Drosophila melanogaster: one gene and its partner. The protein of the gene in region 1 purifies or fractionates together with the protein of each later gene. This does not show direct contact. Each region holds a gene or a part of one and is shown in the gene's direction. Other genes may lie near its edges.

Region 1 (7,935 bases):
GCTGCTGTTGTGCCCTGCACTGCTGCTGCTCCCGCCGCTCGAGCCTGTTGCTGCACTGGACGTTAGTGCGGATGGGTTGATTGTGAGGCAGGATTTGATGGCACGATAAGAGATCTCTTCGTCGTACTCAGCCTTTTTGAGCATTTGCTGCAGGCGTAAAAGACGTGAAGCAGAAATATTTATACACACATATATATGTTGCACATACATGAGCCAAAACTTACCAGAAATCGCTCGCTCTTGTTCTTCCTGTCGCCAGGATTTCGATACCAGTAGGCCTCTTCGAGAAGTTTCTTCAATGATGCGTCGTCCAGATCATTAAAATCGCTATCTTCCCAGGTATCGTATTTTGTCTGCAAAAGCGTCGAAGAACAATATTTGGCAATTAGTTTTGCAATTTTTCGGGTCATCAACACGAACACATATGCGTGTAAAACAATAATCGCTGCGACTTAACCTAAAAAAAAAAAAACAAAAGAATTCGGAGCTCCACTTATTCCAAACACATGCCCTTCTGAGTTCCTTATGCGAACTGATGAAGTACCGACCGCAGAGCAATAGAAGTATTAAATGGCACACGGTTCCAGTAAGTAAACGCTCTACATACGCACACACATGTGTACTATATGGTGTTGCACACGAACACAAGAAAACAGAAAAAAAAAAAAAAAACAATAACTGAAATAATAACGGGAATAGGCGAGAAGTTTTCGTGGTTAATGCCGCGGATGTCACCAATGCTTTTATAAGATAAACAAACGCTTTGCGGTTTTATCCGTTCCTTCTGCCCGATTCGGGGTCTTGATTTCAATAATTATCGAAGGCGCTGGTCAAAAAACCGACTGCGATCAGAAATTGAAGTTCCTGTGTGGCGATTACTTGATGGGACCAAATGTAACGGCACTATTTCGAAAGCCACAATCCCAGTCAGTCAGAACGAGATAACAGTATGCTTGGTCTATTTCTACATCATTTTCGAATTCTTTGCCATTAACTTCGTAAACGGTACTTTGGCTTCTATTCGCATACATATATGTATGTATGTGAGTATGTATTCATTAGGGGGATGCAATTTGACTGTCAATATTTATTTTTTTTTTAATAAAATTCGGTTTTCGATAAAACAGTGTTTGTGAGTGAGTAATCGGCTCACTTAAAGTTTTTTCCAAAGGTCATGTTTTAAGGGGATTTCGGCATTTTCATTTTCGACAACTTTAATGGACCGCAAGCGTAAGAATCTATTTTAGTTTATAGCTTAGTGTGCAAATAAACAATATTTATATCTAATTTATGTATACCTTGGTTTTGGTGGTAACGTAAAGATCGGACAACTTGCTGTCCAATACTGGAATTCCACCCAAAATCGAAATTAGTTTCAAATTTTACGTTTACTTAGTTGTTTCTCAACTTAGTCGCCCTGGTAGAGCTCTATTCAAGCCTGGCCATGCATAAGATATGGAGTCCAAACACCATAGAGCTTTGGAGCCTCCAGAACGTACACAAATGTGAAATTTTGCGAGTAACAAACATAACTATACCTTTTTCTTAATAAAACAATATCTTAACTCGGTTTCTGCTTAACATGCACTATATTTCCACCTTAAGATGCAACTCAGCCAGAGCGCACTTACCTTTTTCTTCTTCTGTCGCTTGCCGACATTCTGATCGTCCTGGGTCTTGCCCTTGGCAGTGGCTCCGTACTGGAGTACCCTGCGGTTTGGTCGCGACAGTTCAGCGCTGGGCGAATCCTTTAGCATGGCAAAGACCTGCGAGAAGGACGTATCTCCTGCTGCTGCTTCTGCTGCGGATCCTTTGGCAGCGTCTGCCGTGGCTGCGTGGTTACCAGAGCTATGGCTATTACTAGGGGATGATGACTTCTTGGGGTCATTGCCTCTGCTGCTACTGCCGCTGGTGGCTACATGGTTGGCAGCCACTGGTGCCGCTCCTTGGCTGTCCTCGTCTTTGGCCCCCTGGTTCCTACAGGCCTCGTCAAGCTGCGCGTCTGCCTTCGCCACATGGTCTGACATCATGGTCATAAGCTGCTCCTGTGGGAACGGCGTCGGCGTTGTTTTGGTGACGGTGGTCGTCGTGGTGCTCTCGCTCATCGTGCCAGCGGCAATCGAGACGATGGGCGTGTCCGGTATGATCGTTGGCAGTTTGGCAGCTGCTCCACCAGATGCCACACGATCCGCCGGTGTGTCCGATGATGACGGCGTTTGTTCATTGTTCATCTTCTTTCGTTTGGTGGCATGCAACGAAGGAGAAAAACAAATGCCATTCGAATTCCTCGAATCTGTTAGGGCGTGTGAGAAGAGGGGAATGTTTGTTTTAGTAAACGGGTATATCTCGCATTCCCATTAACTGCTTACAAACTGTTTCTTCTCTTCGCGATGTTTCTAGGTAGCCCAGCTGCCCAGCCGCCGTGTGGTTGCCACCGCGACTGCAAGTGCTCTGCAGGCTGTTCCGCCGATTCCTAACGATTCCTCTCGACTTCCAGACGGTTTGAGGCACAGGGGAGCCCACCTATTGCGCATCAGTTTGGACTCCTGCTGCACTTGACAGGCCTGTCGTCAGTAGCTCTCCTCCGGCTCAAACCTTTGCTCGCGGCATTTACGTAGGTTCCTGGGCACGGGGATGCGGATTGCTCGCAAACAGACCGGAATACGGAAATGTGTGCGCACGGATCTGCAATTGATTGGGAAATGGGGATGAAGTTGAGACTAAAACTGAAACTGAGACATTGGACCACTGACTGGGTGTTTTGCAGCATTTGTTGTTGTTCTGGTCATGCGGACGAGCGACAAGGGGCGGTGGGTGGTAGCAGGTGCGTCTGTTTAGTCTTTGGCGACCCCTTGCGGCCCACTGACTTCGAATTTCTTTAAAAAGCACTGGTCTCTTTCCATATTCATTTTTTTTATTTTTTTTTTTTTTTGGCTAAAAAGCAGTGTTGCTAACTACGCTGCGTGCCAGGGTTGACAAATGCTGTTTGTTGTTTGTAGGGGCAAGCCGTTGAGATTGCTAAATCGGCGTTTGCTCTAGGCTTGCATCTTACTAATCAACACGAGATTGCCTGCCCGTTTTGCAACTAATTAGTGGGATATGCCCATCGAGTTGGCAGCCCTGCGGCTGTTGTCAGTGGCAACACTATCGCAAAACACGTCATTTTGACACAGCTTTTTCACCAATTTCCCGCTCAGCTCGTCAGCATTGGGGCACTGCGGCACAGTTGCCCAGCAGTTGTGGTCACAATTACCCAGTAACTGAAGTTTTCCGCGGATCACAGTAGTCATTTATTGATAAATACGCCAGTCGATGACAGCTGTATAACTTTCTGCGCACTCACACGAGCGCACACGAATGTACGCACCCACACACACGCACACAAATTTACGCCTGTGTACATTTCTCTGACCTTCTCAGCGTTTTTATTTTTTGGTTTGGCAACTGAAAAGAAGGGAGCACATAACTGCGCACTCAAGTTCTAGCAACTGCAATTGAGTCGAACGGTTGTGCTTAATATGTTACAGTTGTTTGTAAGCGGGCGAAATTGTTTAATTGCACAGTAGGCACATGAGAAAAAATACCGAACCCGAATTGAAAAACTCTCTGGAATTGTTGTTGTGTTGTGCAGCACTTTGAAAAGGCGACGCGACGCTGCGCAGCACTGCCCATGTCATCAACATTTTTAAACCGCTGATTCACTGTGGCGGTAATCGATTGGTCGATAGTTATTTACGTTTCGCTATCTGGCAATACTGCTGTTTTAGGAAAAAAAAAACGCGTAAAATATAAACAAATGAAAATTAACCACAAATATGAGTTCGACGACGATGTGGCCTCCATATGCGAGTCAACGGTGGGTTCCGCTACGCCTTGGCGTGTTTTGGGTGTTCATTCTAATGGTTTTAACCGCAAACTTGCAGGCCGCCCTAACCGAGGGATGTCGTTTACCCGTCAGGATGCACAAAACGGACGACTGGCCACTAGCGGAGATTGTGAGCATCAAGGAGTTGGATGGGCGCCGGCAGTTTTACGTGCACTATGTGGACTGTGAGTACCAAGTCGTCCAGTGGGAGCATATTTAGTATAACTGCCAATCCGCAGTCAACAAGCGCTTGGACGAGTGGGTCAACGAGGAGGATCTGTACACGCGAAAGGTGCAATTTCCGCGGAGAGACGGCTCACAAACAGGCACCAGCACTGGAGTGACCACGCCACAGCGCCACCATTCCCTAGCGGGCAGCGTTTCTCGGCCTACATCACCGCAACACCCTGGTTCCGGGGCTCTGGCAGCCATCCCCCAGACTCCTACTGGTGCATCAGGCAGTGTTCCTCCCCCTGCTGGCATTCCAAACTCTGTGGCTCCACCCGGAACACCAAGCAGTGGGGGAGAGCTTGTGAATGGCAACAATCTGGCCGCAGCCCTTCAGAAACGCATCAATCGCAAGCGAAAAAACCACGGAGGCTCGGCCCATGGACACCACAGTCTGACCAGTCAACAGCAGCAGTCACATCCGCATCCTACAACTCCGCAGACACCCACGGCTACGCCCGTGCATGTGACCGGCGACGGTTTAATAAGCGGAGCGGCCAATGATGATGGTGATGGATCGCAGGATGGCAAGACGCCCACGCCGAGGCAATCAGGCAGCATGGTTACGCACCAGGACGACGTGGTCACCCGCATGAAGAACGTGGAGATGATCGAGCTGGGCAGGCATCGCATTAAGCCCTGGTATTTCTCACCCTATCCGCAAGAGCTGTGTCAAATGCCCTGCATCTACATCTGCGAGTTCTGCCTGAAGTACAGGAAGAGCAGGAAGTGCCTGGAGAGGCACCTGTCCAAGTGCAATCTTAGGCATCCACCGGGAAACGAGATCTATCGCAAACATACAATTTCCTTCTTTGAAATCGATGGACGCAAAAACAAGGTGTATGCCCAGAACTTGTGCCTGCTTGCCAAACTCTTTCTCGACCACAAGACACTCTACTATGATACCGATCCGTTTCTCTTCTACGTAATGACAGAGTTCGACTCGCGCGGCTTCCACATAGTAGGGTACTTCTCCAAGGAGAAGGAGAGCACAGAGGACTACAACGTGGCCTGCATTCTCACAATGCCTCCGTATCAGCGCAAGGGCTACGGCAAGCTGCTCATTGAGTTCAGCTACGAGTTGTCCAAGTTCGAGGGCAAGACGGGATCGCCGGAGAAACCATTGTCTGATCTGGGTTTGCTGTCCTATCGATCGTACTGGGCGCAAACCATACTGGAGATCTTTATCAGCCAAAACCCGAGCACGGACGGCGAAAAGCCCACTATAACTATAAAGTATGGCTAGTTCTAAGCTTAAAGTAATACAATTTTCAATCCACAGAGATTGTGCTTCATTGCCGAAACATAGATTAATCATGCTCCCAAAATTTTTCTTCACAGCGACATCTGCGAATGCACATCCATCAAAAAAGAGGACGTGATCTCAACGCTGCAGAACCTGAACCTGATCAACTACTACAAGGGCCAGTACATCGTGTGCATCAACCGGGTTATCATCGAGCAACACCGGCGAGCAATGGACAAGCGCAAGATCCGCATCGACTCGAAATGCCTGCACTGGACACCCAAAGACTGGTCCAAGCGCTCCAAATGGTAATCTCCTCATCTTCTCCGTATAAATAACTGAGTTTAAACAGCTTTGAATCCGTTTTTTTTTGTTTTTAGATTTCCGCTACCAATATTCTTCATCGGATGATCCTGGCTTCGTTGTAGCTTGTAGTTTTCATTTACAGTTTCCGTTTTTAATGTTATAAACTAGTTTATATCATACAATATTATATATACTTTTGAGACGACCGGCTAGTTGTTTGTTTCCCGCGGTGGGAGAAGATCCTCCACAAGGCGGTCCATTGCCTGTATCATGCCCATCTCCATACCATTCTCCAATCCATCGACGGCGGTACGCAAACTTCTTAGAGCTTCTTGGTTCTGGGCGAACTCCCGTTGTTGCCGGCATAGATTTAGGCGCGGTTTGTGGGTGGTGTTCAGATGTTCCAGGCACTGCTTCACATCGTTGGAGTCCAGAATGGCGGGACGCAGATCACTGCCCAGTTTGGATCGCAAACTAGCGATATCCTTGGCCGCCTGGTCGACTTGATTCACATCAGATACACGATGGGCATCCACGGCCGCCTGCAGGGCTCCGCACTTCAGGAGCCTCGCCAGCCGCCCAAAGTCCCGCTGATACTCACACTTGGCGTCCAGCCAAATGCGTACTTGCTCCTCCACCTGGCGCTTTACATTGCGGCTGTCTTCCTGAAAACGGCGCATCGCCTCCAGGTGCAGCAGGTATTGGATGTCGTCCATGGTGCCCTCAGTTGTCAATGATGGCGGTGTGGTCGTGGTGGGAGTGGGTGGAGTTTCCATAGTGGCTTACAAAAACTTCTTAGTTTTTAAAGTGGGAAATTCGGATTCGATTGCCGACGCTATCGCTTTCGCAGCTGCTATCGGTAGCATTTGAAGTCGGCTAACGGAGATTTTTGTAACGATAGGCGCGTAGCTATGTTCGAGTCAAATTTGGCTATTAATAACTATATAAAAAAAAAATGAAAATAATTCGAAAATGTAAATAACAACAAGATATGTAGGTTTCCTTACATAAACTAACAGGTTTTTAAAGTTTCTAGAAAACTGAAATAAGTTGTTTGATTTTGCTTACCGATAGTTGGGAAACCAGCTCTTATTGATTTTGGGGCTAAAAATGTAAGCCATGCAAATGAAGTTAACGTTTAAAAACAAGTCAATTCCTTGCAGCACGGAAACCAAGTACTGTAAAAAGTAATTCCCTTTCAATTCAATTTCACTTCTTTAGCAGCATATTTCACCTTCCCTTCCAAGCACCAAATGTCCGGCGACTCTCGCGCGACAGCGTTGCCAGTTAGGCGACGAACACGTTTTAACTATTCGTTTCGTTTAGAAAACACACAACGCTTGCCTAATTTTTTTTAAACATATTCAGTGGACTGATAACTTGGTATTGATATTGACAAATGGGTCGAAACCAGAAGCAAAATTTTTTCGCGGCTCGCAAACGTCAAAAGCGGGAGAATGTGAGTCACCTCAATTTGAAAGGAGAAACATTCCACGTTTTTGGATTTTATTCTTAAATATATTTTTTATCTTAAAGGGTCCCAAGCGCACCGATCGTCAGGCCCAGCCGTATGAGGAGATCAAAAGGGATAATGCCTTCTTCATCAAGTACTACCAACTGCAGAAGATCTGCGCCACCGATGAGGAGTGGACGCAGTTCCTTGCTTCCATCAGGGACAATCTGCCCACTACTTTCCGTGTGACAGGATTCAAGGACGAGGCCAAAGCCCTGCTATCCATTATTGAGACGCAGCTATTCACCGAGTATGTGAGGGCGGTGGCCGAGCTGCACCAGAAGGCGCCCGAGGATGTGGAACGTCCGCTGTGCCTGCCGTGGTATCCAAACGGACTGGCCTACCAGCTGCACCTTACCCGCAAGGACATTCGACGCTCGGAGCCGCTCTACCGGCTGCACAACTTCCTAATTGTGGAGACCACGGCGGGCGGCATCAGCAGGCAGGAGGCCGTATCCATGATCCCGCCAATTGTCCTGGATGTCCGACCCACGGACAAAGTTTTGGACATGTGTGCTGCGCCAGGTTCGAAGACAGCCCAGCTCATTGAGGCTCTGCACGCTGCTCCCGAGGAGCACAAGATTCCGCCCGGCTTTGTGCTGGCCAACGATGTAGACAACAATCGGTGCTACATGCTGGTTCACCAAGCCAAGCGTCTAAACTCGCCCTGCCTGTTGGTGACCAACCACGACAGCAGTGTCTTTCCCAATCTCGTGACCACGAAGCCGGACGGCTCAAAGGCGATCCTTAAGTTCGATAAGATCTTGTGCGATGTAC
Region 2 (7,302 bases), on another chromosome or scaffold:
ATGCCTATCTAGTCTTAAATTTAACTGCAACACGCATACACTACTTAATGTCGCAAAAGCAACAATTATAGCCAAACTAGAGTATGGTTTGTTTCTGTACGGCCATGCTCCCAAAAGCATTTTAAACAAAATAAAAACACCGTTTAACTCCGCTATCCGTCTAGCTCTCGGCGCATATCGCTCTACCCCAATAAATAACTTACTTTACGAATCGAATACTCCCCCCTTAGAAATGAAACGAGACCTTCAAATAGCCAAACTATCCCAAAACCTAATCCTCTCCAAAAACACACCAATACATAAGTTCTTAAAGCCTAAAAAAGCTAATAAAAAAAAAAACATCAACAATAGACCGAACAATCAAACTTAGCCTAGAACTTAATCTACCCTACAAACCAATAAAACTCCATAAAAACAAACCACCATGGACCCTCCCCAATCTAATAGACACGTCACTTAGAATCCATAAGAAAGAACAAACATCTCCAGACCAATACAGAAAATTATACGAACACACAAAGAATAACCTCAAAACACACAATTTCATATTCACTGACGGTTCAAAAATTAATTACACAATATCATTCGCCATTACAACGGAGACAGACGTCTTGAAATACGGCATACTGCCCCCATATTCATCCGTCCTCACCTCCGAAACAATCGCCATCCTAGAAGCAATAGAACTTACTAAAAACCGAAGAGGCAAATTTATTATCTGCTCCGACTCCCTATCAGCAGTAGATTCAATTCAAAACACAAATAATAACAGCTTTTACCCAAGCAGAATACGATCGCTAATAACGCAACACGCACCTAAAATTAAAATAATGTGGATTCCTGGCCATTCAGGAATAAAAGGAAATGAATTAGCCGATCAAGCTGCAAAATCAGCAAGCAGTATGCCACTTATCCTCACCCCAAACATAAATACCACAGATATAAAAAAACACCTTAAAGCCGACCTTGCGACAAAACAGAAAGAACACATAATAAACTGCAGTCCATGGTACCAATCTATTAACACGAACACCTCACACCCATGCGATTACCTTAAACAATCCCACCCAAATTGGACCAGACTCGACCAAATAAAAATAATACGACTTCGACTAGGACACACAAACATAACCCACCAACACTACCTAAATCCCAATTCAATACCAACTTGCCCGTTTTGCCAAGGTGATATTTCTTTAAACCACATATTTAACTCATGCCCATCCCTCCTACAAACCAAACAAGATATATTTAACAACACCAACCCTCTAGACCTTCTTAGCAAACCCAATCCAGATAACATACAAAAACTCATACTTTTCCTCAAAAAAACTAAATTATACCACAAAATCTAAAAACAAAACAGGCATTTGTACATAACAAGCCAGCAATTAGTTACCAAATTAGATATTAACTAAATTAAGATATAATAACATTGTAAATAAATATAGCTGTAAGCCCCGTAGCTAATGCTATACTATCTAAGTTAGTCTAGTTTTGTAAACTATTCTATCTATCATAATAAATAATAAATAAAATAAACATACTTTTTATATTGTCTGTGAAAGGTATTTACATTGCTTGTGGGTATTGTCCACTCCATTGGCTTGGACTGCTTTGTAGGATCGGAAGCCTCCGAATATTCGGGTATCTCAACACCCAATAGTTTACAAACTTTGGACAAAACCACATCCACATAACTGGATATGATTAAGTTAGCCTTTTTGTCATGTTTTGTGGGCTGCAGATTACAAATGACAAATTTTCCACCGCATTTTAGATTCTTTAAAGGAAGGTCTCCGCTGGGAACGATCTGCAAAGTGGTTCCAAGCGCAATATTTAGGTCAGCGACGGTGGAGTGCATCACACCCATTTCGAGGTCGTTTTCGGGAAGATCGTGCTCCCAGTCCAGAACGTTATCGTATAGGATTCCCGATCTACAGCTACGACCTTTGCTATCCATTGAAGACTTGCAGGCACGTTGCAGGGATTTTTGACCCACTGTTTCCACGGCAGATGGGCTCACAAATTGCCGTCTGCATTTCTTACACTGTTCGATGTAAATGTTGCCGTGCAATTCGGAAAGATACTTCCGATCCAGTCCGGATTTCAAGTGGAGACCATCAATATTCTGTGAGATTACGTACTGCACATAGCCACTTTCAATCAGGGCTATGATAGCCATGTGGGTTTTAGTTGGTCTGGCTTCATCGAAGGAAACATTGAAGTCCGGCTTCTCGCCCTTCTCCTCCAGGGTCCAAACGCCCTTGGGTCCGCGGAAATCCGGAATTCCTGCAGACGTACTGATCCCAGCTCCCGTGTGGAGGACAACGTGTCCCGATTTCTTGATCAATTCAGCCAATTCCTGGCACTTTTCGGCCACAACCTCATCGCTGTCGAAACTCTCTGGTGCTCCCAAAATTCCCTTGTTGTCGTAGGCTGACAATCCATCCGCGTAGTTGCAGCTCATGGTTTGATAAAAGTTTGATCTACTTCAAAAGCGACTATTATGTCTTTTTGGTATTAATTTGTTTATATTTTGTACGGCTAAATGAGTCCATCGAGATTTTATTGTTTATAATATGACCGTATCCGTAACGCTACAAAATACTTTAAAACGTGCCAAGTGAAATTACACTGGTCATTAAAAAAAAGTATAAGGTGTAATATAATTTGCAGCTTGGTAAAAACTAAATAAATCTCAAATATCTTAGCTTACCTTGATTAAATATAAATGTAAAGTATTAACTCAAAATATTTGTTATTATATTTAAAACATTTATTATAAATTATTTTATTTTCTACCATGTGGTTCAGTGTACCAAGCAACATGCTTGGATTTCCAACTCGCACGGTCACACTGTAAACAACGGCTGCGGAAACAAAGTGTGCTTCTAATTTCCAATCAAAACGCCGGCAGAAAAACAAATTTTATCCACGGCAACGAAACAATAGTTTGTTTGATCGTTGCAACGCTTGACTTCACATTTCCTCTCCCTCGGGCGAAAAACAGCTGAAACCGGAAACGGATCAGAGTATTAGCATCAGGCAGGACACGGATTTAGAGGCGCCATGAAGATCGAGGAAGTCAAGAGCACCGTGCGCACCCAACGCATCGCAGCCCACAGCCATGTGAAGGGATTGGGCCTGGACGAGGTTGGAGCTGCCGTGCACAGTGCAGCCGGACTGGTGGGTCAGAAGGCGGCACGCGAGGCAGCCGGCATTGTGGTGGACCTCATCAAATCGAAAAAGATGGCCGGACGAGCGCTTCTGCTGGCTGGGCCACCAGGCACGGGCAAAACCGCCATTGCTCTGGCCATTGCCCAGGAGCTGGGTAACAAAGTGCCCTTCTGTCCCATGGTCGGATCGGAGGTATTCAGCAATGAGATCAAGAAGACCGAGGTGCTAATGGAGAATTTCCGGCGCTCCATTGGTCTGCGCATTCGTGAGACCAAAGAGGTGTACGAGGGCGAGGTTACGGAACTCACGCCCGTGGAAACCGAGAATCCTATGGGTGGCTATGGCAAGACTATCAGCAATGTCGTCATCGGCTTGAAAACAGCCAAGGGAACCAAGCAGCTCAAGCTGGATCCCAGCATCTTTGATGCCTTGCAAAAGGAAAAGGTGGAGGTGGGCGATGTCATCTACATAGAGGCCAACAGTGGTGCCGTAAAGCGTCAGGGTCGCAGTGACACCTTTGCCACTGAGTTTGATCTCGAAACCGAGGAGTATGTGCCGCTGCCCAAGGGCGATGTCCACAAGAAGAAGGAGGTTATCCAGGATGTTACTCTGCACGATCTGGATGTGGCCAATGCTCGTCCACAGGGCGGCCAGGATGTGCTCTCCATGATGGGCCAGCTTATGAAGCCGAAGAAAACTGAAATCACTGGTTAGTTGTGTAATTTTCTTCCCATTCAAATTTACTAAAATACCATTTGATGAGCAGACAAACTACGCATGGAGATCAACAAGGTGGTAAACAAGTACATTGACCAGGGCATAGCCGAGCTGGTTCCCGGAGTTCTCTTCATCGATGAAATTCACATGCTTGATTTGGAGACCTTCACCTACCTACACAAGTCCCTGGAATCTCCCATTGCACCAATTGTGATTTTTGCCACCAATCGTGGACGCTGTGTTATTCGGTTAGAAATACTTAGCTCGTAAAACCTATTCGCATTATTAATAAGAGTTACCTCTTTCCAGTGGCACCACCGACATAGTTTCGCCGCACGGAATTCCGCTAGATCTGCTCGATCGTTTGCTGATCATCCGCACACTACTCTACTCCACTGCCGACATGGAGCAGATAATCAAGTTGCGCGCCCAGACCGAGGGACTGCAGCTGGAGGAGAACGCATTTACACGTCTCAGCGAGATTGGAACCAGCTCCACGCTGCGCTACGCCGTCCAGCTGCTGACCCCGGCTCATCAGATGTGCAAGGTGAACGGACGCAACCAGATCAGCAAGGATGATATCGAGGATGTGCACTCGCTCTTCCTTGACGCCAAGCGCTCCTCGAAGCATTTGTCCGAAAAGAACAATAAGTTTATGTTGTAAGTTTGACGATTCAAGCTGAATTGTAATTCCATTTGCACGGATTTCCCAGTAAAAATCAAATAATAAGCAATTTAATTTATTGTAATGATGTGGTAATTTGAAAACATTCAAATGATCATTTCAATGGCGCTTCAAACATCGACAAGAAAAGTGTGTACACACTTCAACTGAAAGTAAATCGGAAATTTTTGGTTGGTGTCTTAGCTAGATTAGGGCGAATCGTGAATTTCTTTCAACGGTTTTTTTAATTGATACGTAGATAAGCATATTTAAACGAACTCGGAGGACTAACCATTTTCTTTTTATAATTCGGTTGTTTGATTGTAATTATTTTGTCTTTCGTTTTCCGCTTAATCTTCCATATTTGCTGCTTGTGATCGCAGCGATATGGCAACTTCCACTCGCGCCACCCTCATTTTCCCACCATGCGACATCAGCTGCTCGCGTTGTTTGGCCAAGAATTCCAATTGGTGGTGAGTTCAGTTACTCAACGAGCGTCGAGCTGCGCACTGCCCCAAAATAAATAGCCAGGGAGCTCCGCTGAAGTGCATGCAGTGAATAGTATATTTAACGATTCGATTCGCGGCGTGGGCGTCTTCTTCTTTTTCGGCCCGTTCCCCTCGCGTCTTGCATCTTGCCTCTCGCTCGCTCCAACAACGCCGGCAACTGCACTTGGCGTGCGTGTGTGTGTGTAAGTGTGAGTGCGTTTGTGGTTTTCCGAAAGAATGTGAAATCATAATAAAAGTCGCGATTTGTTGTTGCTATTCCGCGCAATTAGCCACTATTTAACGCACATGTGTGTGTTTCGAGCTTATTTGTGTGTGAACAAAGCCAGGCAACCCGTTTTGGCGGAAATAAATGCAATCCTGATGGCAGGATCAAGGTAAAATGGAAACATTTGGGATCTATTGCATGAATGAACCAATGTTGAAGAAGCAGCACAAGCAGCAGCAGCAACAACAACACAGCGGCAGCTAGGAGAGCGAAAGAGAGCGAAGGCAAACAAACGAAAATACAATAATAAAAAAGAAGGAAAAACAACAAAAGGTAAGTGCGTGTAATGCGTGTACGTGTGTGTGTGTGTATGGGTCTGGAGGCCGCACCTCCCAATCAGAAAATTAGTGCTGTGTGGGTGCGCGTCACACTTATTTGTACTTATTTTTTCCGGCTTTAACTGTTATTATTATTTAAGTAGCACGAACGAGAGAATTACATAATTTCGGTATTTTTTTTGTGTCTCTCTTTTGAGACTCCGAATAGAAAGCGAAAGTATTCTTATGGGAACACACTAGCGTGTGCGTGTGTGTTTGTTTTATTTATGAATGGTGATTATGAGACTTGATAATTAATTGCCAGCATGCGTTGTGATTTGATTTCTGTGCGTACACCAGTTGAGCGGCTGTCTGTCTCTTTTGCACCCACAGCTGGTCATAAATCAAATAAGAATTTCACGCCACACAAATGAAAAGCAACAAACAAAAGAGACGAAGCGATGAACTCCCTCGCGCTCTGATCAGAACGGGAAGAAGAAGCAGCCGCATTTGCAGCTGCGCCGAGCGATCATTTTCGCATACTTCTTTCTTAATTTGTTTTTGCCGAGCCATTTTTAATGTGAAAATCTTGCGGGCGAAAATTGGTCGCCGCAGTTGGCCAAAAACATAACGCATAAACAACACATTTTATGGGACGCCGGTGGCGGCGCACTTACACAAGAAGAAATTTATCAATTTAAATTAAAAGACTTTATTTTGGTATAAATCATATTCGTTAAGTATGTATAGTTAATATTAAGTATTTTATTATAATATCGTTGTAAAATGTGCTTACTTAAATATTTGCTTTCAAAAATTAATTTTTTTCCGTGGAGCGAATTCGCCCACCATCCAGTATCTCTTTCTCACTTATGCTCTCTCTCACTTACTCCTGCTCACGCGATCGTTGCCAAATTTCAATCCACGCCCGCTGTTTTTGGCCCTACACTGCGGAAGATCCGTTAACTGGTTCGAGTCTGATTGGCTTTTATGTAATTTAGTAACACAGTGGTGTTTCGATACGGTGAACGGAGTACAACAAAATGTATTATCATTTTATTAATACGAAACGTTTAGATATATGTACGTTTATTTTACTGTTACAGCAATTATATTTTACATTTGCAAACAATTATTTCCATAAAGTGCATAAACATCACCCTGTGAACAGCACAATATTTCAGTTCCGCCGCGTCTTATTTCAAAAATATTTTATGCCGGCCAAAAAGGCCAATACAAATACACACGCAAAATACAGCAGAAAAACGACTTGAGCGTGTCGGTGTTGACGTTAATGAACTACAACAACAATTATGTACGTTTTGTAGACGGCAGCAAACAGCCAACAAAACAACAACTATATTTCACCGCAGTTCCTTTGTTGTTTCTGCGCCTTTGCTTTTGGTAACGATTTATTTTTCTTTTTGGAACTGACTTTGGCTATAAGGCAAATTTATGTTGTCCATTTGCTTGCAATTAGTTTATGAAGTCAACTGCGCGGTGAAATATACATAGTAGTCGACGTTACCTTGTTGCAGCCAAACGAATACTCTATTTTTGATAAACTTTTAAGCCGAGCATTGCATTTAATTGAGCATGGTGTTATAAAATGGGTTTTTTCAATAACAATGCTTTGATTGTTCGAATTTTTACTAGCACCGATGCGCTTTGATGCAAAGATTAAGTATTTATGTAAGTACCAATATGTTG

What was found. The genes of interacting proteins can lie anywhere in the genome.
Region 2: the proteins of Tip60 (region 1) and pont purify together in Drosophila melanogaster (affinity purification with western blotting; one study listed by BioGRID). This does not show direct contact.

What each region holds. Positions count from the first base shown.
Region 1 is NC_004354.4:4,112,714-4,120,648, reverse strand, and holds Tip60 (Tat interactive protein 60kDa), read left to right. Parts: upstream 1-3,161; 5' UTR 3,162-3,796; coding exon 3,797-3,856; intron 3,857-3,923; coding exon 3,924-4,050; intron 4,051-4,104; coding exon 4,105-5,329; coding exon of another isoform or gene 5,330-5,339; exon of another isoform or gene 5,340-5,352; intron 5,353-5,434; coding exon 5,435-5,647; intron 5,648-5,719; coding exon 5,720-5,720; 3' UTR 5,721-5,849; downstream 5,850-7,935. Other genes in the region: tyf (twenty-four), read right to left, coding at 1-147, 225-353, 1,632-2,231; dgt4 (dim gamma-tubulin 4), read right to left, coding at 5,855-6,421; Nsun2 (NOP2-Sun domain family, member 2), read left to right, coding at 7,045-7,104, 7,182-7,935.
Region 2 is NT_033777.3:10,259,271-10,266,572, forward strand, and holds pont (pontin), read left to right. Parts: upstream 1-2,852; 5' UTR 2,853-3,072; coding exon 3,073-3,889; intron 3,890-3,946; coding exon 3,947-4,145; intron 4,146-4,206; coding exon 4,207-4,561; 3' UTR 4,562-4,629; downstream 4,630-7,302. UniProt on the Drosophila melanogaster protein: Acts as a transcriptional coactivator in Wg signaling caused by altered arm signaling. Pont and rept interfere antagonistically with nuclear arm signaling function, and are required to enhance or reduce arm activity, respectively.